Linked DNA regions of Astyanax mexicanus. The protein of the gene in region 3 interacts with the protein of the main gene of each other region in a biochemical or structural test. Links are inferred from orthologs where the notes say so. Each region holds a gene or a part of one and is shown on either strand. Other genes may lie near its edges.

What was found.
Region 1: the proteins of usp21 (region 3) and yod1 form a complex in vitro, tested with the Homo sapiens proteins (2 studies listed by BioGRID, with this or other methods). The link is inferred for Astyanax mexicanus from reciprocal best matches to the Homo sapiens genes USP21 and YOD1.
Region 2: the proteins of usp21 (region 3) and aurka form a complex in vitro, tested with the Homo sapiens proteins (2 studies listed by BioGRID, with this or other methods). The link is inferred for Astyanax mexicanus from reciprocal best matches to the Homo sapiens genes USP21 and AURKA.

What each region holds. Positions count from the first base shown.
Region 1 is NC_064431.1:7,025,586-7,036,643, reverse strand, and holds yod1 (ubiquitin thioesterase OTU1), read right to left. Parts: upstream 5,300-11,058; 5' UTR 5,293-5,299; coding exon 5,187-5,292; intron 3,858-5,186; coding exon 3,630-3,857; intron 2,970-3,629; coding exon 2,272-2,969; 3' UTR 1,123-2,271; downstream 1-1,122. Other genes in the region: snrpe (small nuclear ribonucleoprotein E), read left to right, coding at 6,488-6,541, 7,310-7,336, 7,539-7,601, 8,801-8,879, 9,980-10,035. UniProt on the Homo sapiens protein: Hydrolase that can remove conjugated ubiquitin from proteins and participates in endoplasmic reticulum-associated degradation (ERAD) for misfolded lumenal proteins.
Region 2 is NC_064424.1:42,036,665-42,047,722, reverse strand, and holds the start of aurka (aurora kinase A), read right to left. Parts: upstream 5,591-11,058; 5' UTR 5,581-5,590; intron 1-5,580. UniProt on the Homo sapiens protein: Mitotic serine/threonine kinase that contributes to the regulation of cell cycle progression.
Region 3 is NC_064420.1:35,349,740-35,360,797, reverse strand, and holds the start of usp21 (ubiquitin carboxyl-terminal hydrolase 21), read right to left. Parts: upstream 5,712-11,058; 5' UTR 4,328-5,711; intron 2,609-4,327; 5' UTR 2,517-2,608; coding exon 2,361-2,516; intron 1-2,360. Other genes in the region: arhgef3l (rho guanine nucleotide exchange factor (GEF) 3, like), read right to left, coding at 8,832-9,079. UniProt on the Homo sapiens protein: Deubiquitinates histone H2A, a specific tag for epigenetic transcriptional repression, thereby acting as a coactivator.

The DNA.
Region 1 (11,058 bases), on a different chromosome or scaffold from region 3:
TGCCCTAAGCAGTACAAGTAAGTGACCATTTGACCAAATCTCACACAGTTCCTTATTAGACTTTTACTACACTGTTTTTGTTAGTCGGAGTTTTAGGATTAAGCAAAAGTCTGAATCTTAAATAGTTCCTTATCAGACTTTTAATTGCACAATGTTATTCAGTGCCCTATGTAGGGGGTTAGAGACACTTTGAAGGTGTAAATCTCAAATGGTTCCTTATCAGAGCTTTATTACAGTGTATGTGTTATTCAGTGTCCTATGTAGGGAGTAAGGGACAGTTTTAGGTTTAGCCAGAGCACAAATCTCAAATAGTTCTTTATTAAGACTTATTTAACTGTTATTAAGTGCTCTAGGTAGGGCACTATGTTGGATAAAATGGTCAATTTTAAACTGAAGTGGGACAATTTGAGATGTAGCCAAAGGTTAAATGCCAAATAGTTCCTCAACAGACTTTAATTGCACTGGGTTATTCCCTTCCCTATTTAATACACTTTGTAGGAAGTAGGGTACAGTTTGAGATTTAAATAAAGCTTAAATGCCAAATTATTCCTTATCAGACTTGTATTACACTGTTTGTGCTATTCAGAGTCATATGTATTGCACTTTATAGGTAGTATTCTACAGTTTATGATTTAGCAAAAGGTTAAATCCCAAATGTTTTCGTATCAAAATGTATTCAGTGCCCTATGTTACTCAGTGCCCTATGTATTGCACTATGTAGGAGGTAGGGGAGCCTTTTAGTTTTAGCCAAAGCTAAATAGAAGTAGGCCTGTTTTTTCATCTACATACACAAGATGGCAGGCTGCTGAATGAAACAACTGCCAAAATAGGTTTGCTGCCTGCCATTGTCATTCCAAATCCTAGGTAATCCTATTACTAAAGTTAAAAGATTTCTTAAAATAGCATTACTTTAATCGTGCAAATTGTTAGAGACATAATCCTGTTTATCTGAATGGGATTTATTAGAGAGGTAGTTGATAGCAAGTGACACTTAATGTACATCAAGCCAAATACAGTAAATAAACTGTTGTGTTCTGCAACTGCAGCATAATTCAATCCCAGAATAACACCACAGATGATGAAGCTTATGGAAGCTCTTACCTGTTGAATGAAACAAGCAGGTGTATCAATTCATCCTTTATTTATGGTGTAACCATTACTTCATTAACTTCCTGTTTAGAGCTCTGCTCAGTGATGATGTTTAAAGCTTAACATCATCCAATCCCACTATCCAAATAATAAAATAACATACAAAGCCTTGCGTGGACAGTACCTGACTGCAAATGTATTGTATTTCCAGTTATCACCAGCACTAAAATACATTCTATGTATTAATGTATTGTTTAACCACTCATACTACTTACTGTACTAGGCTAGGTCACCAAGTCCAGCGACATTTACCCCAGTGTTTTCAAGCACTTCAAAAAATCTGATATGACACAATTCTTCACTGAAGGAAAGAAAAAAAATCAATCTTGGCAAAAACGTTTCGTAGCCACTTGCATAAAGGTGTTTTGCATGGCCAGTTGTACAAACAATAAAAACAGTGCAGTTTGGAACGTAAATCCACACCACTATACTATATAATGTTTATAATGTGAGTCCACAATCAGCACCATTTGTTACACAATCCACTCTCTCAGAAGCCTAACTAAAACTACAACCCATGCTTTTCAAATACTTTATGCATGAGAAGCTACCTGTTAAAAAAAAAATCATAAACAACTACAGAATGCTCCTCACTGTCTGATCTTTGCGACTATTTCAAGTAACAGTTATTATTGAGCCAGTGAGCTTTTAAGACCATTCAGTGCCATCGATTGTTCGGAAATGTGCAATATAACCTTAAAATTGAGAAAAGAAATAATCACACAAATACAGCAAGGCTATCAACTATGCAATAGTAGTGTTGCAAGTTTTAAACACTGATAACGAAGGCAATGTTTGACATTTTGGTTTGAATAAAAGGCTCACTCCTCATTAGGCAATAAACTCAATTGCTACATATCAAAAATAAAAAGGTGTTGTTGCAATACTGTGCTGATAATACACACCAAAACGTAATGCTCAAGAATGTCAAAAACCCAGTGTTGACCAAGAGTTGTAATTAATACTGAAAAGTTGGGGGTTTTGGGTTAAAACACATTGTGAGGTAGAAAACGGCACCAAGCTGAGACACACAACTGTGAATTAGTTTGGGTTTGGGTTCAGGTGAGAACATATACCGAGTGGCAGTGGGAGGGCACAGTAAAGGTGATCCAAAGCGAACTGTTACACTTCGCCGAAGTTGGTGTGACCCGTCTCCTTGGCATGCTCTCTCGCCTCCTTTTGTCCCACCAGGCCGGTCTGGCACACCATGCAGCGCAGCGCGAAGCGGTTGACGTCCGTGTACTGCCGCTTGCTCCTTGCCTCGTCAGCCAGCTCCAGGGCCTGCGCGAGGATGATGTCGTCGGTAGTGGAGAAGACAGTCTGCGGTGGGATGTCCGAGCCAGGCGTTGCCCTCTGCAGCGGGTCGTAGTGGATTCCGTCGTAAATAAGCAAGACACGTTTCTGGTAGCCAGCATCCTCGCCAAATCGGTCCACACGAACAGTTTGCGTGTCCACGACACAGATTTCGCACTGGTAAAACTTGGACAGGATGGAGACCTCAATAGCACCCCCCCACGTGTCATCACGCCGGATCCAGGTGCAGTATTCGTCGTTGCTTTTGCCCAGTACTGCCTCTGAATAGGCAGCTGCGTCACTGGCCACGATCTGGGCGATAAGGCCGCGCATCTCGGGTGCGCAGGCTGGATCATACACACCCCCCTCCACCACGTAGTTCACACTCGTAAAGAGGCAGGAGTTGTCAGCAGGAACCACTCGGCGCTCCAGAACAGGAGAAGAATTTAGGCATGGGACTTTTGTTAGAGCAGCATTAGTCTGGACTTTTGGTTTGTTCTTTTCTTCTTCTACAATCAGAGTGTCTCCTGTAAGAGAGGTTATGAAGGGAAAGCGGGGAGACAAAAAAAACATTTTTGTAAATGTTCTTTCCAATAACCAAAGATATAGGTAGCAATGTGAACAAATACCAAAAACTATGCAATTCGGTGTGAAATGGACTTGAAACGTGACGACCAGCATTGCAAAATACAGCGTTTTTAGCCAATGCTCCCCAAACAGGCTTATGCATGTTAATGCACGTTAGAAGCTTTGATGAGTGCTCATGCAAATATCGTTTTAAGTTTTCCTAAACTCCTAACGAGCCACAACAGAGCTCCATACAGTTTAACCCCAAATTAGTGTGCTTTTTTTGTTGTGTCTGTCCCAATTTTTCAAAGTGTATACTTTACTAACATTGCCAAATAGTAAGTGAAAAACATCCTGCAACCTTCCCGCTTCTTCCTGCTTGTTAAAGAAAAAATATAAATACATAGTTATATGTTATTTTATGAAATAAATATTTATAGAAAATTCACTGAATTAACAAAAATTGTGCTACATCATAATATAAATTATCAGAATATCAGAATATCCAAATATATATGATATTTAGATATGAATATGGATTTTTTTTTTCTGGTTATATTGCACAGCCCTACTGGGTAAAGTCAATTCATGTTTAAAAATCAACAAAATAAAAACCTCACCTGATTTTATAGGGTAGTCTTTTAGGTGAGCATCTCCATTGCGAAGATCCAAGCTGGATGGTGGGTAGCCCACCATGATCTTCTGAACGTCGCATGGAATTCCAGTTAGCTCCTCTACCTTGGTTTTCAGCTCTTGGACACAGGACTGGTGCGTGAGGCCTTGCATCAGATGGGTTCCATTCTTGGCCTTGCACCTCAGTCGCAGCATCCTGAGTCCCTTCAGTTCTGCTTCGGAACAAACAAACTCAAAGATGTAGTATTACTTTTACTTGCTTTGGCTTCTTGGACATCTTTGTTGTCGTGTTCACAACTGGTTAAACTGTCAGTTCACAAATAAAGAAAACGTGATCCTTCTTTAAAATATTACGAAAAATTTATAAAAGACGAATCACAATGTCAGATATCGTTATTTACAGGAGATCCTAGACCTTGCCTCCTTTCAGACGTAAATATGAACAAAATTGAAATATATGCGTAAATTTGACCATGTTTTAATAACAATTTTACCTTTTAAGGAGCACCTATTTTTGTGGGTGTTTTCGCAATGGATTTCTCACACATGCTTCATCAGATCACAATAAAGCTGCTATTTGAATAGGTAGTGCACTATATGATCCTTTGAAACAAGTACTTTTACACTTTTCCTTGAGTAAAAAACTTGAGTTGTTACTTTAACTTCTACAAAAGTATTTTTAAACCACTATATCTATACCTCAACCTGAATAATGAATGTGAATACTTTTGACACCTTTGGTTAAGGCATTCCTGAGTAAATAATTTAATTCCTGAAAGGATATAGTGTGATTTTGGGGACCTAAATAAACCAAGCTGCTGACCACTGCCTCAGAACCAAACAAAAGGGAAATAAACAAAAGACACCTGGTTGTAATTGTCCACAAACAGTCGGTGAGGTAGCTGCCTGCCTAAAACAGACAGTCAGGTAGGTAAGTAGCTGACTGTGCTAAAACTGATGCAACAGCTTGGCAAACCCCTAAAAGTGTATCCAAATTTTGCTACATACTGTTAACCTGCTTGTAATGCTTTAGCTTCATTTATAATAATGTTGCACTGGGTATTGTAAGCTAATAATAGTTAGTAGCTTAGCTAACGTTAGCTAGCTAGGAAAGCTGCGTTAAACCACATAACCCAACCCAGCATATAGCTATCTTACAATAACCTAGAATATTTGCTAGTTAACTAGATTTAAACTCTAATAAAGCAGCCTTGTAACTCCCTTTACCCAAATTAATAAGAACTGTATTTTAGCTCAGCAATGTAACGTTGCATTAACGTTAGCCAGTCAGCTAATCTACCAAACCTAGCTTAGCTATGCTGGTCTTAATTCAGCATAATAGACAACTAGCTTATCTTAGTTTAGCAAGCTAACAGTTATCTTAGCAGCATCTCAGCGTCAATATTAAATGAACTTTTGCATTATTTAATCAAATACCGCCCTAGTTAACATCGCAAATCTGTCCCCAACAGAACCGTGCTCATATACGGTGGCTTTTAACCGTTAATTCGCTTAAATTGTCTGTATATCGTAGCGTTTCTCACCTCGGAGCGCCTTCCAAATAACAACACACTGGCCAACAACTGACATGCGCACTGCGTCACACCGCGTGCACAAAACAGTGCAGACGCAAGCAGTTGTTGAGCTCATGTCATCTTTCCACGTATGTCTGTGTTTATTTTTATGTATCAAGTTTTATTACATTAACTAAGTTACACGTTTTATGTATTTACATAAAAAACATAGCTTGTTATTTTAAATATAAAATAACTGCAATATTTAGAATAAGAAAATATCTTTTAACATTTTCACATTTTGCCACCTTACAACACAAAATTGTATTTGTAATGTAGTTGTATTTTATTGCGATTTTAAGTGATAGAGCAACATATAGTCTATAATATATATATATATATATATATATATATATATATATATATATATATATATATATATACACACACACACAAAAAAAAAACTATTAATTGGATTTCTGCATAAATTGGACAATAAATGTGTACTGATTTTCAAGTCACAACAATAAGCAAACACAGTCTGCTAACACTAGTGATGGGTCTGACGACCCTGAAACCTCGACACATGCGCCGAGCTGTCAAGGCGAAACCCCGTGTCGGTGCGCGTATCAAGTTAAGGAAAACCACGTGACCGATACACTTACTGTATCGTTTGGTAGCGATGGGTCTGACGACACTGAAACTTCAGCGCATGCACCGAGCAAACAAGGCGAACCCCTGTGTCAGACCGCGTATCATTTTAAGGAAAACCATGTGACCGATGCATTTCTTCGCGCAGTTGCTTGCAATGACTTTCTTAGTCCAGCAGATGTCGCCATTAAGTGATACAGCAACACAGTTTCAACACAGTGTCGATACAGTTTGGGAAATGTGCCATACACCCAATGAGGCTTCATCTGCCCATCACTATTGGTGAATATAAATCACGCGTCGCACAACAGAGCTCTCAGAAAAAAAAAATGTCATAAATCCATAGATAATTTTAAGTTCAATTTTATATGAATCCCTCTTCTTTTCTTAGTTTGAACTGTGTTTGTAAAATCAAAAAGAACAAAGAGAGAAGCGGTAGTAAAGGTAGTAGTTTCTGAGCGCAGGCAGCGTCTCAGGGCCGGTCTCTGTGTGGTTAGTCCTCCTGGTCGCTGCGCGGCGCTGTAGTAAAAATCAGCCCCAGGCAGCTCTCTCCGCGCTTCCCCCCGCCATCGCTGCTACACCAACGTGAGGAGATCGTTCCCCGGCGAGTTGTATTCTCCAGTTATTACAGTTATAATATTTATATTACAGCAGCAGCTCCAGCCCCGCGGATCAGCAGCATGGCGTACAGAGGACAGGGCCAGAAGGTGCAGAAGGTGATGGTGCAGCCCATCGTATCCTTTACTACTGAAACTGATTCACTGCTGGAGCTCCACTCCATTCATTTAGCTTTAGCTTTAGCGCTAGCTCTAGCTTAGCCTCTACTCACTTCTGTAATGTTACCTGCGTTAGATAACCTATCTAGCTTATCTTATTATATCGGACTACTCTAACTGCTATATTACTCGCGGTGGGTTAAATTACTGCAGATAGAATGTGTTTGGGGGAGTTTATAAAGAGTGCACTGATTCAATAACTCTGCTAACATTAGTTACATATAAGTTACGGGGTTAGTGTTGGGGCTGTACTCATATATATATGTATTTCTATCTGTATATCTGCATATCTGTATATCTATTTATGTGTATATCTGTCTATTTATCTGTATATTTATCTATCTGTATATCCATCCATCTATCCGTAATTTTGAGCATAGGGCAGGTTCTTGTTTGAGTTTGATAGTTTAGCTAGTTGGACTACAAGCAAGATAAAACTTACCAAGCTAATCTAGGCAATGGGGCTGAGCAATACGGATCAATTGTTAAATGGCGATATAATATACATATGTAAATTCCAAAAGGTAATTTGCATAGGTCATGCAGTAAAATGCATATAAATAGTATAGCATATAATAAATTAGAATATGTTGTGGTATTAAATGTTGTAGAGCAGTGTGTGTGTGGAAATAATCAGGTGGACTAGTTCGATATTTAATGAGAATGGCTTTGCTAAATTGTGATTTTTGCCTGTGCTAGTTGTTTGTCCTTGACTTCTGTCTACAGAATCTGATTTTCAGGTATCTACAGAATGTAAGTGCAGCTTTTTTATGGTTATTATTAATGGTCTTGTATGTGGGTACACAATAAGATAACAATGTGAATAATAAAATAAAGTGCAGACAATTTATTCTCATTTTATGACTGCACCGTATTTAATGGTTATATTGTGTATCACAATTGTGGTTCTAAGTTTGTGCTGTTGTTAATAATCTTTTTGTCCTCTTTTCTGCAGCGATCTCGTATCTCGGTTTGGCTCTATGAGCAGGTCAACATGCGGATAGAAGGCTGCATTATTGTAAGTAATTATTTACTGACCTAACTAATCAGAGAACACTATATTTGTACTTTGCAATAACATGCTTTCGCATTGCAAGCAGTAGCCACACCGCTATAGGCTGACCCTCATGGGTTAGTTGTTTCCCCAGCACCAGGACAGTTTGGCGCTGATGAAGACCACTGTGGAATGCGTTGCGTTTTCACACCCATAACCATACCTTTGCCATGCTACTGCTTACCACAGCAGAAAATGCATTGTAGTCCAAACATGGGCAAGTGAGTAATATTGACGATTAATACAGTTAGTTACACTCATATAAAAATATCAGGAAAAAGATAAGAATCAATGCTTTTTTTCTGACGTTAAGACAGATGTGTGTCTACAGATGCTGTAGCTACACCACACATCAAAACACTTGTAGATGTGACTCATTTTTAAAAACACTGGCCTGTTATCATCAGGCAACCCTTGGCATCAGCAGTAGCACAACACAACCACAATTGGCTAGCTTCCAGCAAAGCAGAAAGCAATGTGGCATACCGATGGCGATGTGAAAGCTCCTTAAGCCCACCTGACCAAATAGACTATGTAATGTTTTCTCCTTGTTTGCTTTGTGTATCTTATCAGTTCCACCCAGCAAGTAAGAGCAATTTGTAGTTCTATAAGTACAGACTGTAGTTCTGCATCTGTTTCTGCATACTTTATTATTATCCTTATTTTACCCTGTTCTTCAAAACTCAGGACCCCTCAAGGCCACCACATTTCAGTGGTGGGTCATTTATTTTCAGCACTGCAGTGACTGTGGTTTAGCATAACAAATGTGTTTGGGATGTTGGTATGTGTTCTGCTGGTGTTGGTACAAGTAGATCCGACACAGCAGTGCTGCTGGAGTTTTTAAACACCTCTGTGTCATTGCTGGCGTTAGAGTATTCCACCAACTAGAAATATATCCAGTCAAGTGTCTTGCTCTAAGGTGGTCCTGTTGGCTTCTGACTATTGAAGAACAGGATGAATGGATGCTAATAATGTATGCAGAGGAACAGATGTGACTAGAGTGTGTATGTATAGCTTTCAGTACAGACTAATGTCTGTTTGTATTTAACCTGTGAAATGTATTTTTTGGGGGGTGTATTGGATTCGTTAATGGCCTCTGTTGTATGTTTGTTTTAATGATGTTATTTTATCAGTGCTATTTCTGTTTTTATCTTCTGCTGTAGGGGTTTGATGAGTACATGAACTTGGTTCTGGATGATGCAGAAGAAGTCCACATGAAGACCAAGAACAGAAAGACTCTGGGTAAGGAGTAGGGATAGGACTATGTCAATGTATTTGGCACTATTTATGAAGCTAACAATGTCTAACTTTGTTTAAGATGGACAGTTATTTTAAAATAGTGCAGTTGTGGGGTCCAGTTTTTTTTTCTTTCTTTAATTTGAAGCAGCTGGCAGAGGTGAAGTCAGTTCTTACACAGGAGCATTTTCATACAATAACTAATGCCTTCATTACATCGCAGCTGGATTACTGTAATGTACTTTATTTTGGGGTCAGTCAGTCCTCCCTCAAACGCCTCCAGTTAGTGCAACATGCTGCTGCCCTAATTTTAACAGGATCATGGAAGGGAGAGTGAATAACTCCCATTCTGCCCTCCCTCCACTAGCTGCCTGTAATTCAAACTGATTCTTTTATTATTATTTTTTTTTAATCTTTAAATGGATTCACCCCACCTTACTTTGTTGAGTTACTCCATCCTCACGTTCCTGCATGATGCCTCAGGTCAGCTGATCAGCTGCTCTTAGAGGTGCCATGGTCAATATCTTAAAGGGGACAGAGACTTTTAGATTGCTGCTTCCAAGTTATGGAACAACATACTTTTACACATTAGGCAGGCCTCTTCACAGTCCGTTTTAAAACTAGTCTAAAAGCTCATTTTAATTCTTTGGCTTTTAACCTAAAGTAAGATTTTGCTTCCGTTTGGTTAGGATTTTTTCTGTCTTAATTGTTTTTTATGTTTACTTTTATTTTTTTTGTCTTATTGTTTTAGTGTTTGTTTTTGTTATATAATTATCTATGTACAGCACTGTGTTTGAAACAACCAAAAAGTGCCCCCCAATTTCACTTACTAAAGTTACTCCATGTGGCACTAATCAAATGAATAGGGTGAACCTGCAGTAAAGAATATTGGTTGTGAAATTCTGTGAAACTGACACCAATAATTCTGTAATTTTTTGTGATTTGCTTATTTAGGGGTATTTTATTATATCATGATAATATTGTGTTGATATTCTCTGTGATTTCTACCCCCAGTGAAGTGTTGGACATCTTTCAATTTTTCCCATGGTTTGAATCATGTCTGGCAGGTGTACTGAAACGTTTTTTTTTTTTTTTTTCTCCAACAGGGAGGATCATGTTGAAAGGAGACAACATCACGCTTCTGCAGAGTGTGTCAAATTAGCCGTTCAGGTTCATCAGGATGATGGAATTTTATTTGGAATATTTTTGTTTTCATGTATGTGATTTTTCCTTTTGGGGGGGGATAGGGATGATTTTTTTTGTGAGCATGTTGACTCCTTGTACCTTAGCAGTGCTCGTGATGAGTGATGTTTTTTCTATAAAAACAAATTAAAGACTTTTTTTTGTTTCTTTGTACATAAGGATTTTTATTTAAAATTCAAATATGTTTGTAGGAAAACTTTTAAAACCTTCATGTGGTATTGAGCACCAATCAAAAGTTTGGACACTTTCTCATTTTATGTTTTTTTTTTTATTGAATTTGTTTTCTACATTGTAGATTAATATTAAAGACACAAAAAAAGTAAAGGATACATGTGGAATTATGTAGTAAAAAAAAAAAAGTGTACGTCCTCCACATTAATCCCCTGATCTAAATCTGATGAACTGAGATGGTGATTTGAGGTGATTTAATTGGGAGGAGCTGGAGCTTCACAGTGTGAAGAAAAAGCCGCAACTACTGTTCAGCACCTCCAGGAACTCCTGCAAGGTCCCGAAGAGAAAACTATTCCAAGTCACTTTACCTTATGAGATAAAATACCAAGAGTGTGCAGATCTGTCCTCAAAGATAAATGTGGTATTTAAAATAATCTAAAGTATAAAACATATTATGGTTTAACACTTTGTTTACGAAAAGCTTCAATAATGCTGCATGTGATCCTGTATAGCTTTAATATAGTCTTCAATTCTAAATTTACAATTAAACATTAAAGAAAAGAAAACACACAGTATGAGTAGAGGTGGGTCCAAACATTTAAAAGTTATGAATTAGGAATTGTCTAATTGCTAGTTTTTCAGGATGGGAACCTTTGCTTACACATCCATACAGTGATCAGTGATAAGTCTTACAGTGCACAGTATTTGTTTGCTGGACAAACGGGGGTTGGACAATGAAACTGAAACACCTCTCATTTTAGTGTGGGAGGTTTCGTGGCTAAATTGGAGCAGCCTGGTGGCCAATCTTCAT
Region 2 (11,058 bases), on a different chromosome or scaffold from region 3:
CTCGTGCTGATCGACATCACCCTAAAAGCAATGAGGGGAAAGAGCACCATCTACCCACCTATCCAGAGAGAGCAAGGCCAGTTCTGCTCTCACAGGGCATCGGTTGCTGATGGCAAGCTGCATGACCGGGATTCAAGCCAGCAATCTTCTGATCATAGTGGTAGCACTCAAGCAAAAAAAAATTGGTACAATTTGTTAATTATAATGATAATATTTTACCTAAAATGATACCTTTTAAAATTTGATGAATTAATTAAATAAATACATTTTTATATTTTATGTTCTGTTATAAACTTTTTTTTTGCGTAGATTTGTGGCCAAAAATAAAAGTGTAGTAAAAAAGAATAAAAATAGTTTGGTTTGGTTGGTTGTAAATTGTTGGTTTGGTGTTCTAAAGGGCTCACTTTTTGGTTGTTCACTATGTCCATGTGATAGTTCGCATTAGCCAAAACTAAAATTGTGTGATCATATTGAACTATTAACCCTTATGTGACCTTTAAATTTACAAAAACACATTTTATCCAAGGGGGAATTTCACCTTAGCAATTTTATTCTTCAGAAAATTATTATATAATACATAAAATTGTAACCAAAGTTTATGCTATAGTCACATGCTATATTAGTTTGTTGAATACTTAAACAGCCTTTAAACATTTTTAGGTACCACTTTAAAATAAGACTACCTTTATAAAGGGTTTATAAATTGTTTACAATTAGTTTATTAATGGTTACTTATTAGGTTGTAAATGTCTTAAAACATTAATAATCAGTTATAACACATATGTCGAAAGGGCAACAATGACCTGTTGTTTGCCAAGTAGTGAACCCACAGCCATCTATATTGTTGCCCTTTCTACGCATGTGTTATAACTGATTATTAATGATTTTTAAGGCATTTACAACCTAATTATTAACCGTAAATAAAAGAATTTTAAACCATTCATAAACCCTTTATAAAGGTAGTCTTATTTTAAAGTGGTACACATTTTTATTAAGATTCATCATCCTGACCACCTTTCACCAAACCATGAGGACGACTTGCATTGCAACACATCATAGCAATATATAATATATATATTTTGACAACAGAAATGTATCTGCAATGGTGAAATCTCTTAAAATATAATAAGTGGTAAGGCTGGCACAAGGCTGGAAAAAAAACTGCTTCTGGTGAAATCTCTGGTGAACTGTTCTATTCAGTTCCATATAAAGTATTGGACTAAAAAAAGCCTATACAATCCATCACAACACTCCACCCAGAGAGGGGCTAACCACCAGGCCATGACAGTGCCCAAGTGGTGCATCATTAGACTGAACTATTTTTACAGTTCTCGTTAAAAAAAAAAAAAAAGTTTAAAAATGACTGAGAGTTAAGTATAACAACAGAGAGTCACTGAAGCCTGCCAGAGAGTTTCTATTCGAGTGATTATTTATTTATTTATTTATTTTTTTTTTTTTTACAGTCTAGCAGGAGGTATGCTGTTAAGGTTAAAAGCCAGGGAGAGAAGAAGAATAGAAGAAACATTAAGAAACAGCTTTCTGTTCAATCTGATAAGATCTTGCATCGCCTCTGTTGTCTCCCTCTTCATCTGTTTATTGAGAGAATTTATGTATGAGAATCCAGGTGAGCATGTTTCACAATGGGTGCATTAGCTGTTATTTTTCTGATGTATGTTTCATGGATTTTCCTCTGATACAGTGCAGCCTGGTGGTGAAAGATCTAGTCCCACCCTGAACCTGCCTTTCAACCTTAACAACAGACAGCAGAAAGCAGAAAAAAAACAACCTTGCATGTATCTGAGACGGCGGGCTTCACTGTAAATCTGTTCTTTAGTTGAACTGTTAATAATATCCTTATAAATGATTGGTGTGAAAAGTTAACTATTTGAGCAGAAGCTCAGGGAAGCATGGTGGTGGATCTGATTCTTGCTCTGTGGATCTGGTCTTTGCTCTGGTCTTTATCTGTGGGTGGATATTTTTTTTTTTTTTTTTTTTTGCAGTTCTGCTTGAGTTTCCTCCCATCTCCCAAAATCACCCACGGTAGATCAATTGGCTATTCTAAATTACCTCAAGGTGGGAGTGAATAGAAGTGTAGTAATGAAGTAGTAGTTTTCAGCATATGTATTTTCTTTATATTCAGTTTATTTCTCTTCACTAATGTATGTAACTATGCCATACCTGTCAAGTTTTAGATTAAAAAATAAGGGATATTTTCCTCCGTCCGCTTAAAGCCGTCCCACCAGCCCAACGAAGGTTCAGTATCCCTTACATTTTAAGACAATGTTTACAAAAAATCTAAAATAACCACATGTGAACCACTTACAGACTACAATTAGATTATCTGTAATTTTTTTATTTTTAAAAGGTTTAATCTGTGTGTTTTGATTCAGATGAGTATTTTTAAGCAGCTATCAGAAAAATATTTTCTTTTAGAAAAATCGCTGTATATCCAGATCTATTTTAACATCAGCAGCTCCGACTAGCTGCCTGAACTCACAGCGATGGGGGGCGGGGGGTCTTCCCCACACTAACCCTCCTTCGCGCTCCGCAAAACCAGCAAGCTGATTGGCTGTTTCTCCTGAAAGGCGGGACTTTCTCCCTGAACCGGCACCACGATTGGTTAAGAGACACAGAGCGGTCAGTGCCCCGTCTCCTTAATAATAAAGTTTTTTTTTAATATTAATATAATACGGGACATTTACGGGAAAATTAAAAAACGGGAGGACGGCGGGAAAGAGGCGTAAAATACGGTAGTTTCCCGGCCAAAATGGGAGACTTGACAGGTATGCTATTCTTTAGGTAGTTTCGGTCTATGGCTGTCTATGGCTATGTATGTCTTAAGTGTTTCCAGATATATACCATATCACCATATATAAGGAGGCCCCCAAGAGTGGGGAGGGGGAGAGAGAGCGGAAACTTCAAATCCGGAAAACATCTCTCTCCAAGGCTGGCCTAGGAAGCCTTGAAGGTTTTGCCTTAGTCTTTTGTAATAAATCATTGTACTACACCTAAGACAATGTCTGCTGTGTCTTCTTCCTCATCTTCAAGCATCTTCACAGCAAAAAGACAGTGGTAAACGACAGTAACCTGCAATTTAGCATAGCCGATTTACCTACTATTACTGAAGGAAAGCCATATCAACACTGGGGGAACCCACTAAACTTCTTACAAATAGGGAACACAGCAAGCATCTTACCCGAAACCCGTACCACTACAGCTGTGGAGGCCATACAATCCCTACTGTACCACCTCATTACTGGTTAATGGCTCATCATCCATCCATGCATCCATCCATCCATCCATCCACATTTCCATCTATCCATCTACTTATCTGCTTCTTTGTGGTCAGGGTCACAGTGGGTCCGAAGCCTAACCTGAATCATTGAGCACACTTAATCACTGGGCTACCTGAATTTTAGCGAACTGTTATTTTGGCGAACTGTCAACCATGCAGATTGATTTAGGGCATGGCAGTTTGTCTTTGCTATTGTAACGATGGGATAAGTATCCCTTGCACAGCTCAAGATGCACAAATGGCATGTACTAATTATTTTAACGAATCATGGGCATGTTTTGGGCATACCATTCCGTTTGAGAACCAAGTGCTCTTAACTGACTGATTTTGGTGGATTCGTATTTTAACTTCTGTGCAGTGCACAAATCCAACTTTTACACGAACAGTAAATATAATACAAATTAATATAACATCGCTGTTCTCGTAAATGATCTGCTTGCTCACCTTCACAGCAACAAAAACAACCAGGTCATGTTTCTTCTGCTGAGAAGTACCCAAAACACACCCCTTTTGTACACCCCTTTTGTACACGCCTTTTGTACGTTTGGAGCCACGTAAGGCATACTTTTCCTGTCGTTATGATAGCAAAAACACACTAACATGTCCTAAATCCCTCAGCCCTAAGCTGCATGGTGCACGGTTTATGACTTGGAGGCCCTATTTTAGTGATCTATAGGTGTATGGATCATTAAAATAGGGCCCCAAGTGCAAACCCAATGAGACAGAGTGGGCTTAGAGCCTGCCTTGAGTTAATGCACGCAAGACATGAATGCCCACTGGACAGTCTATCAGCCTAAATCTATCATAGGCTACAACATACATCCTTTCAAACCTAAGTGTTAATTTAGCAAAGCTACCTGACCTACACTTGTTTTTGGAAGGTGGGAGGAAACCAGAGGAAGAAGAAACCCACATGGACACTCATGCCCAGACAGTATGAAGAATCGGCTGCATGGCAGCATCAGCTGAACCTTGGCATCGGCCATGCAGAACTGGGCCAAATGTAGTTTAGACCAAATTCCTCCCAAAAGAAGACCAGAGCTGGCCCACCACCACAGACCTCTTGAACTGTCTACTGCACCACTGTGCCACCTAGACTATAAATTACTAATTAAAATACTGATCAAGTTAGCATTTAATTACTTCTATGGTGTAGTGTACACAAAATAAAAAGCTGTGCAGTACTAGTTAAAAGTTTGGGCACACTTTCTCATACAATGTTTTTCTTAATAGGTAGTCATAGTATGCAGTAAAAATATTTTAAAAAGTCTTGATGGTCTCATTTCATCATTTTTTTTTCATTTATTTTAAAATATCTAGTTGTTGTCACTAGTATAAATGAATGCCATGTGAGCCGTTTTTTCTGAAAAAAAAAAAAAGTGCTCAGGTTCAGGTGTTTCTATTTAGCCCTGATTTAGATCACTGAATGAGAGGTCTCTGAAGAAAGACTGTATTTGGTTCTTGTAAAATCTTGTAAAAGTGAACGGCTCCCGCTTTGACTGGTGCTCTATCGAGTTGTGCTACCTTGTCAAACCGTGCTTTCCTAGTGTATATTTAAGGCAGGGGTGTCCAAACTACGGCCCGCGGGCCATTTGCGGCCCGTTTCCTTTTTTGGAGCGGCCGGCAAGGTATTTTAGAAAATAGAATGAAAGTTGGCCCGCTGTTAAGCAGGTTTTTATAATGTGAGATTCAAAGTTTGAACGCTAGGTGTCAGAAACGGGCCAAAGAGTCTAAAAGCGGAGAGGGTGTGCATTTCTAGCGCAGAAAAACGGGGCAAAGAGTCTAAAAGCGGAGAGGGTGCACATTTCTAGCGCAGAAAAACTGGGCAAAGAGTCTAAAAGGGGAAAGGGTGCGCATTTCTAGCGCAGAAAAACAGGCCAAAGAGTCTAAATGTTGCCGTAATTAAGGAGTTTAATATTAAGAGACATCATGAAATGAAACATCAATATGAAAAATCTTAGTTTACACAACACTGTCAAAGATAAAGATAGTAAGTCAAGTAAAATTGTGTAAATGAAATAATCAGGAAAAAAGTATTATTTAAAGTGGTGTATTTCATTATTTGTTTTATTACAGAGTCTGTGGCCCGTGACTTCATATATATTTCTCCTTCTGGCCCCCAACAAAAAAAAGTTTGGACACCCCTGATTTAAGGTTTCGGTAAAATGTTGAATCAACCGGAGATCCTATTTAAACCTACAGTTACTTACACAAGATAGCTAATGCTAACTAGCTGTGTAAACAGAGCTGTAAGCTCCTCCTTAGCTATAACTCCTTCTGCTGTACAACTCAAAGAGACCTATAGTATTTCACAAAGAACAAGAAAAAGTGGATTATAGCGGAATGAGACAAACCAACTTAAAAAACAAAAGCTCAAAAAATACTCTGTGAAGAATTTAGCTGCTTTTATCTGGGGTGCTGTTAACTGTCTAAGCTTTCTGAGGCATCTGATGAAATTCTGTGCAACAGAGGTAACTCTTGCTCTTCCTTTTCTGGGGTGGTCCTGATGAGAGCCAAGTTTTATCATTTTCAGCATTTTTCTCGCTCTTCGTGACTGCACTTGAGGATCTGTTTAACGTTCTTGACATTTTCTGTACTGAATGAGCTTCATTTCTTAAAGTATTTTTTTTTCTTTATTTAGTTGAGTAGTTTTTGCTTCTCATAATATGGATTTACCTCTTCACAACTTTACTTTACCTCTTCACAACTTTACAACTGACGCTCTCAAACACAAGAAAGAAATTCAAGTAATTAATTAATATTTTTTCCATGTTCTGTTTGTTAAAAAAATATTTTTACTATATAATTCCATTTGTTTTCTTAATACTTTGGATGACTTAATCTATTACAATTAATAGACTAAAAAAAAAACATAAAAAAAATCACTGGATTGAAGACATATGACTGGTACAGTATATCCTTACAAATAACTATCACAAAAAGCTCAACGTAAACAGGCATGTTTGCTACTAGACTCGAATGCTGATGATCCCTTTGTTTACACTGTTACATATTCTGTACAACTTTTTGACAACAGACTAAATTGAGCGACCCACATGCTGGGTATTACAGGCTTTGAGAGCTTATTCAAGACACGCTCCGTGCATCATTACCCCGTAGCGCGTGCACTTTGATTTCTCTTCGTTTTGCGAGGTGTGATGGGAACTCCTGAGAGTCAGATTCAATGCTGTCAAGCTTTGTCAAACAACTTATTATGAGCAACCTATTTAAAACCACTACTACACCGCTAGTGAAGAGGGAACTATGGTGTTGGTTCTGTAGTTTCGGCAGTGACATCACTTCTTTGTTGAGAAGTTAGGAGGTGCTGATTGGTCCAGAAGTTGCGACCCCTGATAATTTTCATAATTTTCCTTTGTAAATCATTGGTTGTTCAGATCAGCAATTTAATTTAAATATATCTTATAGCAGATGAACATAGTGATACTGTGTTTTGAGGGGTGGAATGAAGTTTATACGATTTACAGAAAGTGTGCAATAATTCTTTAAACAAAATTTAAAAGTGGCAGTCCATATTATATTGTTTCTAAACTGAAAACAGAAGCTTTTCTGAGTGGAAAAGGGACAAAATATTGTGTTTAATGGTACCAGTGTGCTGAAACGACCATTCCTGCTAAGCCTTATATATTAATTCTTAAAACTGGGGGGTCAGGACACTTTTCAAGGGAGTTCTTCTTCTGGCCACGTCACGTGTCTTTACAAACTTACGTCTCATGTACAGCCTCTAAAAGAAGATCTGGCTCAGTTTTACTGAACGCGAGTGGCTGGTGGAGCAATGGAGACTTCAGAAGAGGAAACTCAGACCTCAGTGTCTCATTCACTCATAGTAAAAACAAAGAAACAAAGGAGTGAAGTTGCTTTCTCTCTCTCTCTGACTGAACATAACCTGGAATCGGATTCATGCGCTCTGAAAGGAGACCGCATCACACCCGCCCAGTGTAACATAATTTTTCCACATGCTTGGTGCAATTATCCATTCTCACCAGAGAGGGCCCTAAATACCCCAAATCCCAAATCTTACAGACATCAACTTTTAGAAGGTGCATACATTTGGGCACCCCAACAGAAAAACTGAACATCAATATTTAGTGACTCCATCTGCAGCAAGATGATGATGATGTAGGTCTTTGGAGCTGGTCTGGAGGTCTTTGGGTTGACTATGACTGTTCTCACCATCCTTCTCCTCTGCTTATCTGAGATTTTTATTGTTCTGCCACTTCAGATCTTATCTAGAACTGTGCCTGTGATCTTCTAATTCCTCACTCTGTTCTTCACAGTGGAAACTGACAGTTGAAATCTCTGAGGTTTGAGCTTTTGTATTCTTCCTCTAAACCATGATGTTGAACAATCTTTGTTTTCAGGTTGTTTGAGAGGTGTGTTTTGAGGCTCTCATGTTGCCACTCTTCAGAGAAGATGATGAGAGAAAAGAACATGCAATTGGACACCTTAACTCTTTCTAATAATTGGATTCACCTGTGTATAAAGGTCAAGTGTCAATGAGCATACCAAACAAATTTAGTGTTCCAATAATAATCAATAAAATGACCAGCTTTATTTTTTTGTTATTGTACACTTTCTTTAAATCCTATAAACTTCATTTCACTTCTCAAATATCACTGTGTTTGTCTGCTGTGTTTAACTGAAATTGCTGATCCGAACATCCAATGATTTATAAAGGGAAATCATAAAAACTATCAGGAGTGCCACTTTTTTTATACCACTGATATGTACACCAACAAATATGTAAAGCACATCCTTGAGGGTTGTTAAAAACATTTATCTGTTTAGGATTCCTCCATGTTTCCCCCATGTTTTCGCTGCTTGTTCTTGTGCTTGTTTGTAAGCGTTCATTAATATTTCATCAGCATTTCCTCAGATGACCCCATGCAGGCCAGTTAAGGCACCTGGAAAACAATTATTTGTTGAGTAATACAATTGTAAAGGTCTGAAACATGATGGTGCCAAATGCTAAGCTGTGTAATTAAATACAGATTTAATCAGCTTTCTGCTATTTACAAACTATAAATATAAGTACAAATTAGTTACGAATATGTAAGAGATTTTGTTTTTGTTTTAGTTTGGTTTACAGGGTCAGGACTGTTCAATAAGTTCATATGTTTAAACATTATATATATATATATATATATATATATATATATATATATATATATATATATATATATATATATATATATATATATATATATATATATATATATATATATATATATATATGTGTGTGTGTGTGTGTGTGTGTGTATATATATATATATATATATAGCTACAGCTACAATGGTCCAAACGTATTGGAACATTCAGGTCAATTGCTTTATTTCTGGTGTAGATTGAAAATGAATTTGACATTAAACTATTAATATAAGGTTAATATGAATAATAAATGCATCTGATACACTGTTTAGATGATAGCACAGATAGTACGCATCTTTCTTGTGAGCAAAAGTATTGGAACATGTGACTCTCAGGTGTGTTTTGTTGCCCAGGTGTGACCTGATTCATGAATTATCATTAAACATTAATTATATAATAAACATCATTCAGTTTCGGATTTGGGTTTTATCTGTGCATTTATATAAAAAAAAAAAAAAGAGAGCTGTCTATTGGTGAAAAACATGCAATTGTGAAGCTGAGAAAAGATGGAAACTCAATCAGAGCCATTGTACAAATATTGTCCATATCCAGAACAACTGTTTGCAATGTCCTGAAGAAGAAAGTCGTCACTGGTGTACTTAGTAACAGATGTTGAACAGGTAGACCAAGGAAATCCACAGCAGTTAATGACAGAAACACTGTGAGTGCTGTAAAGAAAAAAAAACCCTAAAACAACTGTTAGTGTAAAAGTTTTAAAGTAAAACTTCCAAATATTCCTCAAGAGTTACTTTTACTTTTATTAAAACAGTAGTTTTACATTATACTGAAACTTACTGAAGCTGCTTCAATGTAGGACAATCTTTAGCTAATAATATGAGATAAGGTCACTGAAAAAAGCTAATATAAAAGCTCTGTGTGTGTGTGTGTGTGTGTGTGTGTGTGTGTGTGTGTGTAACTGAATGCATGTTCCACCAATAGGTGAACCTATAGTAGCAGAATTCACTAATTAGTGCAGGTGTCTGGCTACTTTTGGACACATCAAGACCCAACGAAGACCTGTCTCTTTCCTCCATGAGCACGTAATTAAACACAGACCTTGCACTTATTAAAGCTCTGTTATTGTACTGAAAAATCTTATTTCTGCAGATATACAGGGGTTGGACAATGAAACTGAAACACCTGATTTTAGACCACAATAATTTATTGTGGTGACGGACAGTTCTGAGTTCTGGTGGAAACAGGAGAGTTGAGGTGCACATTGAATTCTGCCGTGATTTGAGCAGCCGTGCTTTTATGTTTTTTGGATACAATCCGGGTTAGCACCCGAACATCCCTTTCAGACAGCTTCCTCTTACAGCGTCCACAGTTAATCCTGTTGGATGTGGTTGGTCCTTCTTGGTGGTGTGCTGACATTACCCTGGATACCGTGGCTCTTCATACATCACAAAGACTTGCTTTCTTGGTCACAGATGCTCCAGCAAGACGTGCACCAACAATTTGTCCTCTTTTGAACTCTGGGTATGTCACCCATAATGTTGTGTGCATTGCACACAATTTTTTTGACAGGCAGAATAGATCGCTATTATGATTACTATTATTATGATTTTTGGTTGCTCCCCTCCCAGTTTAAATGTAGTTCATGTACTTCATAGAAAGTGTCCAGGTTCGGGTCTAGAGGTGGTCTGAAACCAAAAGAGTTGCAGAGACAGAGCAACAGATTGCAGACAGCATTTTTTGATCTACGACAAAAAAAGCAGTTTCTACGAATCTCGTGCAGCAGCTGAAGGTAAAATTTAGAGATAAGTCACAATAGCCCGAGACGTTGACTACATTCACCCATCTGCTGCTCTACTGCAGAAAATGTCAGATCAGACTGTGGCTCATTACGGGGCGGCGGAGGACAGCCATTGGCTGGCAGCTTTGAGCTTCCTTTTTTTTTTTTTTCTTTCCGAAGTGCAGAGGATCAATGAATGCGATGCTTGATGTTCTCCGCCATCCGCTCTCCTCCCCGAATCTCGCCATGAATATCATCCTGAATCGGCTCCTCACGAGGAGGAATTTTAATGACATCTGCTGCCGGAGCACGAAATGCCAAGGGTAAAGACGAATCATATAAAGGCAGCAAATAAATCTAATTAGAGAAAAATATGCTTATACGCCTGTAGGTTGAGGATTAGCCAGATGTTGTTATGCAATCTATACTCGTCAGAAATTATAATCTGACTTCTGTTGCTGAGGATATTGGAATGTGTATTAAACCTGGGGGGCTTATCTTATGAAGGATGGCAATCTGTTCCTCTCTTTCTCAGTTTCTCAGTCTCTCTCTCTCTCTCTCTCTCTCTCTCTCTCTCTTCCTTTCCCCCAACACACACTCTCTCTCTCTCTCTCTCTCTCTCTCTCCCTCTCTCTTTTACATACTTTTGGTTACAGGCATTCATTCGAGAAGGTCACCGAAGTGGGATGCTAGTTAGAAAGCTGTCTATCAAAAAGAACTTTCCTGTCTGCAGAAAAAAAGAAGGAGAAAAAAGAAGGAGAAATAGGCATTACTGCAGTCTCTCATATACCTGTGGCCTTTTTGCTTTGGTGCACTACTTTAAATGAGACTTTCTTGAGCTATTGTTACACAGAGGAATCAA
Region 3 (11,058 bases):
AAGGATCTTCGTGCCTTTATCGCTGCATGTGAGACATGTGCACGCAACAAAACACCCCGGTCAAGACCTCAAGGCCTTCTTCATCCACTGCCCATCCCATCACGCCCATGGTCCCATGTCTCCCTGGACTTTGTTACTGGCCTGCCCCCCTCCAAGGGTAACACAGTCATTCTGGTCCTTGTCGACCGTTTCTCCAAGGCCTGCAAGTTTGTGGCATTGCCCAAGCTGCCATCGGCCAAGGAGACAGCGGCACTCCTGTTACAGCACGTGGTCAGGATACATGGGATGCCAAGTGATCTGGTGTCCGACCGGGGACCCCAGTTCACAAGCCGTTTCTGGAAGGCCTTTTGCCGGCTTATGGGGGCCTCTGTGAGTCTCTCCTCTGGATTTCATCCAGAGTCCAATGGTCAGACCGAGAGGGTCAATCAGGACCTTGGCCGGACTCTGCGATGTTTGACCTCTACCAACCCCTCCTCTTGGGCGGATCACCTGTCATGGGCGGAATATGCCCATAACACCCTCTGGCATTCATCCTTGGGCATGTCACCCTTTGAATGCCAGTTCGGGTTCCCACCGCCCATGTTTGCCGAGCAGGAGCGGGAGGTAGGGGTCCCTGCTGCTGAACATTTTGTGCGGCGTTGCCGGAGAGCCTGGCAAAAGGCTCGGGCATCTCTCCTGAGAACGACTGAGGCAAGGAAACGAGTTGCTGACCGCAAAAGACGGGGTGCACCAACTTTCCGTCCAGGTCAGCGAGTCTGGCTGTCAGCTAAAGACCTTCCACTTCGGGTAGAATCCCGAAAGTTGGCACCACGGTTTGTGGGGCCGTTTAAGGTAGATCGGCGTATTAACCCAGTTACTTACCGGTTGCACTTACCACCATCTATGCGGATCCACCCTACATTCCATGTTTCTCGCCTCAGACCCTTCCTTTGTGGGGCTGGGGCTCCTCCGGCCCATCCTCCAGCTCCTCGTCTTATTGATGGCTCCCCAGCATATACTGTTCGCCGCCTCCTGGACTGCCGCAAAGTGCAGGGTGGTACCCAGTATCTGGTAGATTGGGAGGGCTACGGGCCAGAGGAACGGTCTTGGGTTCCAGCACGCCACATTCTTGACCCAGAACTTATCAGGGAGTTCCGACAAGCACGTGCTGCGGGCTTGGGTACTTCTGGGGCCGTCCCTAGGGGAGGGGGCCCTGTAAGGGGTCGGCCAGTGCTGCCAGCGGCCAGCAGGGGGCGAGCACAAAAACCCCAGAATGCCAGAAGGTAATCAGTGCAAACGAGACACACCTGCTGGCACTGGTATATAAGACCAAGGAAAGCAGCACCCTCTTGCCACACCTTTGTAGAGGGGTGACCGGTAACATAGGGTACTGAAGAAAATAAAAGAAAATAAAAAGAAAATAAAAGGAAAAGAAAAGATCTCATAAAAAAGAGAGGAAAATAAGAGATCTGAAGAGAAAGCAAAAACTTACAAAAGAAACAAAGAAATAAAGAAATAAGAAATAAATAAAGAAAGAAAGAAAAAGAAAAGAGCTCCAAAGAAATAGACTTCTTTTAGCAAGTCTGTCCTAAGTTTCCTTTTTAGTTTGTTTGCCTTTCCTTTGTTTGAGCAATGCCATGTGGCATCTCCTTTGTTTAGTTTTCCCGCCTTTTTCCCTCCTCAGTTAAGAGGGTGTTATTCCAACAGCTGCCTGTCCTTGCCAGTGGCGCAGGAGTAGAGTGTTGGCCCAGCACTGTCAAGGTTGGGAGTTCGAGCCCAGCATAAAGCAGTCCCTCTCACACCACTTCACATCCATAAATCCTTACATAATCCTTACACAAATATTACTTACCTCTTTGCACTTGGGTCCAGTCCTTAATAGTCCCGTGACAAAATGATTATAGTTTTGAGTCCTAAAAGATCCTACATGTATAACTGATTGTTCAACTACTAACTAATCTAAATGGAAAGATTCCTAGAATATTTATACACATCTTAAAATATCCTCTCAAGCTCTGCCTCTCCCGCGGTGCACCCTGCAGCACGGCCTGTCTAGGATGTTTCCATTTATAGATCTCTGATCCCATTATCTCAGGCAGGGAAGACCCAAACTTAGACATCACTGGGGTCAAGAGCAAAGGCGTTAATCTGGCAGTGAGACGGAGCGTGAGGGATCTCTTATGGGTGTCTGTACATGTAAAGGGCATTTTACACCATGTATATAATGCGCACAGTTTTTGCACAGTCCAAGAAAAAAAGAAAAAAAAATTAGGACTACTTTTTTTCTCTTCTGTGAAGCCAATTAGCCTGCTAAGACTGTCTAACACACTCTACGCTTTCTGTACAGAATCATTTACACTGAAGCTCTGTGTGTGTCTTACCTCCCTGTCGGCCACCAGCAGCAGCCCCATAAGGGAGGTGTAGAGCACTGACTGGGAGATGTCTGTGCTCTCAGGCTGGAGGCCATTCTGGTTCAGCAGAGAGCGGCACAGGGCCCGGCAGGAGTTATCCATGTGGTTGGATGCGGCTCTCGGCATTTGGCCCTAATACAGGGTGAACTGACGCCAGGCAGATCAGAGGAAGAGGAGTATGAATGGAGATGGCAGTGTAGAGCTATAGCCTGAATGACCTATAAAACAAACAGCAGATGAATTAAAAGATGAAAGCATATATACACCTCTGGAAAAAATTAAAAGACCATTTCAGTTTCTGAATCTGTTTCTCTGATTTTGCTCTTTATAGGTATATATTTGAGTAAAATGAACATTGTTCTTTTATTCTATAAACTAGGAACAACATTTCTCTCAAATTCCAAATAAAAGTATTGTTATTTAATGCATTTATTTGCAGAAAATGAGAAATGGCTGAAATAACAAAAAAGATGCAGAGCTTTTAAACTTTTTAAAGTTCATATTCATAAAGGTTAAGAGTTCAGAAATCAATATTTGGTGGAATATCCCTGATTTTTAATCACAGTTTTCATGCATCTTTACATGTTCTCCTTCACCAGTCTTACACACTGCTTTTGGATAACTTTATGCGACTCCTGGTGTAAAAAGTCAAGCAGTTCTGCTTGGTTTGATGGCTTGTGATCATCTATCTTCCTCTTGATTATATTCCAGAGGTTTTCAATTTGGTTAAATCAAAGTTTAAGTCTATAAATTTGCTTATCTTGCCACTTGCTTTAATATTTTTAATTTTTATTTTATTGTGTTATTTTATTAATTTGCTCATCTTTTTTATCCGTTTTATCCTGGTCCTGGGAAACTATGGGAAACTCCTCACAGTGAGGGGTCAAAGATCAAACCCACACAACCAGACCCCTGATGTTGTGTGGCACACTGTGCCGCCCTTATAATATGGTTAATATTAACATATAACTTATGTAAATCTATTTTACAATAACCTAATTCTATACTATGATTATAGAGCTTTATTATTATCTCTATTCATAATTCTGTAAACTTTTTAAAACTCAATTTTGGCTTATTACAGATTTGTAGCAAGCTAAAAAAAAATGATATATGCAAAGATTGCACAGGAGTAACATATCATCTGTGTCATATCAGAAAACCTATATTTCTGAAGTGGCAACTTTAGAAGAGAACTTTTAAATACTAATATATTTTAGTCTAATTAATAATTTTAGACCTTTTGGAGCATTGTGAATGGACCATTCATCAAGAAGTTACAGAATGATGTTAGAATGATTGTATGTATTGATTCTAACATGTTGGCTTTGTGTTAAAATGTATTGTAATGTATTGTTTTTTATAAATGATTAAGTATCAGGAACTATACACTATATATAAGAATACTGTACATCTGCCAACTCCAATATTACTTTGATTAATAGTCTGTAAATTCCTATCAAATATCTAAAGTCTGTGAAATTGTTTTTTGTATGTTCTCTTTAATTTAATCCATAAACTGCAACATTATTTTAATTAATAGGAGGTTAATTCACAGATAAATCAACTTAATTATCAATCAATTAAATTATTTTTCGATTTACCTTTTAAAAAATGTATAATTTCCTAAAAGAACTTCAGTCAGCTTATTCTAAATAATATTCAATAAATAAAATTAATTACATAAACATGTATTGGGTTATATAATACCGTATTCCTGAATGTACTGAACTGAAGGTATAGTAAAGTACAGCCAAATAATTGCCTACACTCATGAACTCATGAACGGCTTTAATCATGACTACAATACTTATAAAAAACATACAGTTAATAACAGAAACATAATAACATAAATAAAGATTAATTATTTAGCTAAAGATAAATTATTTAATCTTTAAACTTTTTTGTGACAGAAATGTTTTGTCATTTTTACTTACAGTCTCGTCTCCGGTGGTCACACTCCACTCAAATCCCAGCAGATGCTGAACATCAGTTATCCAACAAAGCTGTGTAGAAAATTTCTGAACAAATATCCCGTTTTTTTTTTGTCACTATATGTTCTCACTTTCACTTCAGGCTGCTACTCACCTGGCCACTGTACAGAGAGTGACCCTTAATCACCACTAATCTTTCCTCTCCTCTCCCTGTACGACTGTCTATACTTAGCCAAGTCCTCTCACCATAGCTGGAGCAGATTACACCAGTGAGCCTGCCCCCATAACTCTGCATTACACTAGCAGGCCCATACGCAAATAAACAAACAAATTCATAAATAAACAAGTAATGCACATTTTTATATAAATCAATTGTTTAAATTCAATTGTACATCACGTTTATAAGCTACACAATAACTACAGTGGATTACAGGGTTTACTGGACAAAAGTCATATCTCATTATCTCTCTGCTACTTTCTCATATTGACCTTAAGAACTAAATGGGTTAAAACATAAAACTGTCAGTCCTTTTTACACAAAAAAAAGAAAAAAATATATAATAAAAATATTTACGTTCACATGTTCACTATCGCTTAAATTTTATGATACACTAAAACAGCATCCACATTCTACAAAATCATACCATCAAATGTCACACATTCAATACAGATGGATGACAAATTAACCCCTTTCTGACACACACAGAATTTATTTCAAAATGATAACAAATTTTTAACTATAAAACTAAACCAGAATTTGAATTTTTATGTGTAGAGTAAAAGGTCATTTCCAAAAAAACATCGCTATAACACCTGCGTTTATATTTGTATCTTTTTCTTGGATGCAATACACATTGTTTTTGCACCTAAATACATAATAAGCACGTACATCACTTCCTGTGTGCCCAGAATATATTTAGAATTGTCCGAAAATGTATTTAAACACTATTGCAAATGAAGAAAAAAATGATTTTTTTTTTTTTTTTTTTTTTTTTTTTACAATGACCATCATGTCTCAAAAGCTTAAAGGAAAAACCATCATGAAGTCACAGTAAAGGGTTGTGTTATCAGATCCCATCAGAACAGCGAACAGAACAGTGCAGCCTGATATAGGGTTTGCAACATAACTCTGGAGGAACCGTTTCATTGAATTAGAATAAATGCTCGATTTTTTGTTTTCTGTGAAGAGTGTTCACTGTGCAGTATAAAGTCAGGGTTGAGTAGAATTTCTAAGTTGTAAAATCAATCATGGGTAAGCAGCGCGACCTCTCAACCGGAATAGTGGCTCAAATTCAAGCCCTTCGCCAACAAGGCTTGACCCAAACTAAAATTGCTGAGCAGCTCGGCATCAGCCAGTCTTCCGTCTGCAAAGCTCTCAAGAAAAACTGCAGCAAACTGTTCCGGCGTCCGAAAAACTTCTGCTCGCGACAACAAGCAGCTGAGAAAGATCGCAGTCAGCAACCGGTTCAAGTCCACTTCCGAGCTCACCGACTTGTGGAACAAGCAGACCGGCGCTGACGTCTCCAGATCAACCACTTACCGTCGTCTGCGCGAACTCGGCTTCAAATCTCGCGTTCCAGCAGTAAAACCGATGCTGAACAAGAAACAAATGGAGAAACGGCTGAAGTGGGCCAAAGAACATTAAATTTTCCAGGTAACGAGTTCTGTGATTAGTCTAACGAGTAGGACAGGTGCGGTGAACACCTGATTTGCTTTCTGCACAAAAAATGCATTCAAAGAATTTCATGATTGCACTATTTCAAATTATTCTAATTCTTTGACCAGCACCTGTACTCTCTCTGGGTGGGTAGATGGCGCTCTCTCCCCACATCACTTCAAAGGGTGATGTCGATCAGCACAAGGCATCTGTGAGCTGATGTATCAGAACCAAGTTGCTGTGCTTTCCTCCGAGAGCGCTGTGATGCTACTCGGCAGTGCTGCATCAGCAGCAGTTTGAAAAAGAGGCGGTGGCTGATTCACATGTATAGGAGGAGGCATGTGCTAGTCTTCACCCTCCTGGTGTTGGGGCATTATTAGTGATAGGGGGAGTCCTAATGAGTAGGTTGGGTAACTGGCAGTGTAAACTGGGGAAAAAAATGGGGAAAGTTTTTGAAATAAAATAAATAAAAACCAACTAACTTTTTTATATTGACTTTGTAAGGGTTAAACATTCGAGTTGTATATGCCACAAATGAACTCGCCCACTTGTGGAATGATTAACAAATCACCTGTTTCCACATCCTGAGAAACTATTAGTCATGTTTTTCCTTACATATCACACAAACGGATGAGCATCAATGTTATTAAATGTATGTTTTTAACCACAATTTTCAAAGCTGTTTGCTGATATCTTTGCTATCACGTCACTTTAGTATCTGTTTTAACTGGAACACTAGTCAGATTGCAATCCATCCCCAAAAATAATTAAAAGTGGGACAAAATATCGATATTGTGATATATGGTTTTCTATATCGTTTGCAATACATAATAGACACATGGCATCTAATATTGACCTTTTTTTTTTTTTAAACTAGACTACCTAATTCTACTTAGTAAACTTACAGCTTCATTACTCCACATGGTGGCGCTAATCAAATAAATAGAGTAAACCTGTGGTAAAGAATATTTGTTGTCCAATTCTTTGAAACTGACACCAATAAAGCCGTAATTCCTATTGCTTATTTAGGACTTTTCAGTAACACAGATGGCGTGTAGTATTTTAGAGAATTGTCTTGTGATATATTTATTTCTGTGATATATATATTATATCACAGAATAACAGAATTGTGATATATCGTATCATGTAATGTCCTCGCACTTCAATCCTGTCTTATTGGTCCAAACATCAAGTGTCAAGTGTGTCTATTGAAAATTGTATACTACAAAACTAACAAGCAAACTGGGTTGTTAACTAGCTTGACAGTATAATAAAGCACTCCTATTTGGAAGCATTTACAGCACTGATCATTATTGCAATGCAAAAATCCTGTATCTCCAATAGGCCTGTAACTATATATTGTACGGATGACATATTCTCCAGGAAATAGGTGTAATAAGACCTTTTACAACCCTGATACAATGTATAATATTAAAGCATACTAATGCAATTGCAAATTTCACTTTAAAATACCAGCAAACACTTAATTTTAATTATATTTCTAATAATAATCATATTGATTTACCATGTTAATGGTCTCTTATCACGAAAAATACAATGGGTGATAATAAGACAAGCAAATTATTAAGTCTAGGTTCATATATTGTACAATAATTTCTTAAAATAATTATCATGACTGGCCTGCTCTACATTTTCTTCTTTTTTCTTTTGACATAACATAAATCTGGCATTTATTCTTTACATTGTGTCTGATTTTTATGATTAATGGACCAATAGAACCTGCATTAAAAGTGATGAGTTTTTTCCTCCGCTTAATTTGCCATGTTGGAGCTAAACTATCTGGACAAAAGTATTGGGACACCTGCTGTTTCATTGTTACTTCCGAAATCAAGAGCATTAAGGGCATTAAAGTGGCAGTCCGTATTTTTTTGTTTCTAAACTGAAAGCAGAGGCATTTCTAAGTGGAGAAGGGACAAAACATTGTGTTTAATGGTACCAGTGTGCTGGAACGACCATCCCTGCTAAGCCTAATATATTAATTCTAAAAACTGGGGTTCTTCTGCCCACGTCACGCATCTTTACATACTTAGGTCACACATGTACAGCCTCTAAAAGGAGGATACGGCTCAGTTTTACTGAACGCATGCGGCTGGTGGAGCACTGGAGACTTCAGAAGACATCTCTGAAGACATTTCCCTCACCAGTTTCTGACCTGCTCTGAAAGGAGACCGCATCACACCCACCCAGTTTAAAATGATTCTCTCGCATGCTCGATGCAATTACCCATTCTCACCAGAGAGGGCCCTAAATCCCCCAAATCCCAAAACTTACAGACATCAGCTTTAAGAACGGTGCCAATAGATTCATGTTTATCTGCCCCAGAGATGTATATTCTATTCCTTCTCTAATGGGACTAGATAAGCTTACTTAAAGAGCAGAATGCATTCATTCAAGGGGTGTCCTCAAACATTTGGACATATAGTGTATGAGGTTTATGTGTGACAGCAACGTTATCTTATTCCTCTTGTTCATTCAGGTTCTTCTGTTGATTTGTCACCCATCTGTATTATCATTTATACACAATACAAACTGCATCACATTAAACCGGTGGAAGTGCAGAAGGATCGTACAGTACAGGTGTGAGCACTCACTCATACACTCAACCAGCTCAAACCAGTTTAAGACATTCTTCAGTGCTGACTTACTGCAGCACTGCAGCATCTGAAAACATTCATATAAATATTGTTCCTCTTTAGAAAAATGTATGCTATGTATGCAATCTGCTAATGTCTCTTTGTGTGTGTGTGTGTGTGTATGTGTGAGTGGGGGGTGTGTAAAATGGGAAAGCTTGCTTTGTCTCAAAGTTATTTGAAGTCTGGTAGGCCAGGCCTATGTGTCTGGCATCTCCACATCAGAATTCAAGCTCAGTTCAGCAATGTGATCCAGGGCGGGGTCTGGGCTTAATCGGGATGAGGCTTTGGACTGGCTGTCTTGAGAGAATCTGTCTCGTGATTGGACGATGGCTTGGCGTAGGCAGGAAATCCACTGCTGCTTGTTGAAGGAGTCGTTGGCCTGCAGGCTGTGAGACTGGCCCTTGGTGGAGCGCCCTCTGCTGCTCACACGGAAGCAGTTCTTCACTGAGGAGAGGAGGAACAGAGAGAGAGAAGTTACAACTCTGCATTAACACATGTTCGATATCTGTATCTATATCTGGATATACATTGGTTGAAGTGCAACCACAATGGGTGATCTAAAATCAGATCTCATCAATCCACACAGTTCTGTTTGTGCTAATTAACTGTATATGTCACATATGTCACATCTTCAGCCATATCATTAAAGCCACCTGCCTAATATTGTGCAGGTCCCTCCTTTGCCCCCAAACAGATCTAAATTATCTAGGTATAAACTCCACAATACCTCTGCAGATGTCACCTGGTCCCAACAGGTCTTGTAAGTCCTGTAAGCTCATTACAGCTAAGACCCTTGGGCACCCAACACCCTATTACTGGTTCACTGTTTGCCCTGAAAACCAGGAACACCTCACAAGTTCTGTTGGTTTGAAGATGCTCTGAAACCCCCAAATTAGGCCCTTGTTAAAAAAATAACCAAGCCACCATTATCTGTGTCCATTGTTGCTGCTTCCAAAACATCAACTTCAAGAACTGATTGCTTACTGCTTAATATGTACCGGTACATTCCACCCTATGACATGTCTGAATGTAATTTACTTTAAAACTCAGTGATCTGCTCACTCATCACTACAAGTGTATTATATGCTGTCAAATTTAAGGAAAAATGAAAAAATATCAGGCAAACTGTCAGCATCAATTGAGAAGAAGCAGCAGGCTAAGCTAACACGCTCTCACATGCACACAACTGCAACATAAAAGAGAAGTCGAGAGCTGTGGGAATAAAAAAAAAAATCTGCCTGGTTTCACTTTCAAATATGTGAACTACATGCAGATAGAGTAAAATGCACTTCATTTACACTTCTGCTGAATGTGGTCAAGCTTTGTGTCAAAACACATCCACACCTCCAAATGTGTCCTAAGCGATCAATTCCTAATCCAATACAGTGCATCCTGGGTATGTTTGCATCTGGATTTTTTTTAAAGCTCACCTTCCGTCGTTTTTTCTTTCATTTTAAAATGTCTAGTTGTGGTCTCTAGTATGAATGAATGACATGTGAGCCGTTTTTGTAAAAAAAAAGTGCTCAGGTGTCTCTGTATAGCTCTTTTTTAATGGACTGTTTTAGGGGTGTGTCCAAAATGACCGGATTCCAGCTTTGCTCATGAATATTCATACATGCAAACAGCATGCAAATATCTCTCCTCTGATTGGCTAGGAGCACTGCGACGCCCCTCCACCGCTCTGCCGCTCACTGCCTCCCACCTCCTAACTGATGAGCGGTGATGTTGCGTCGCTTCAGCTCCGCCTCTGGGAGTTTCTGGAGCCAAGGTGGGCTGGTCTGTGAGTTTCTGCCTACGTAGGCAGAAAGATAATTCAAAATTCACCCGTTTTTCGGAGTTGGGGAGGGGGGATTTCTTTGCTTAGCTCCTGCAGACAATGGGGGCTGCAAAACAGTTTAATGTGCAGGTGTACACATTCAACTCGGAGAGACCTACTGTATTCCACAAAAAACAAGAAAAATCGGATTTTCGCGGAAGGTGACCTTTAAGCAAAATGCAATTAACATGATCTGTTAAAAAAGGCATAATAATGAAAGGTGTAAACAGCCTGTGTGTGATTAGACACATTCCATTACATATGGCAGTATTAGTAACATCATCAGGAGAGCTACAACTGCTGGTTAACTAGGTAACTTTAGGGCATCATATGTATTTATTTGATTTTATTTTTTTGCTCTGCCTTAAATGCTGCAGTCGTCTGTCGTATCATTTAAGGTGGAACAGGAAAGTTAGATAGGTAGTTAGCTACTGAGACAGACTAGTAGCGATCGTTTTTATCACTTTTAACAAGAAAAATTACATTTGTGGGTTTCTTTGGTCGCTTGTGCTGCCATCTTACCAGTGATTCTCACAACCCTTGGTTTGACGTGTGCATCTGAAAAATCTTTGTTTGAAGGGCTAACAAGCCCTATCCCTTCCCCTAA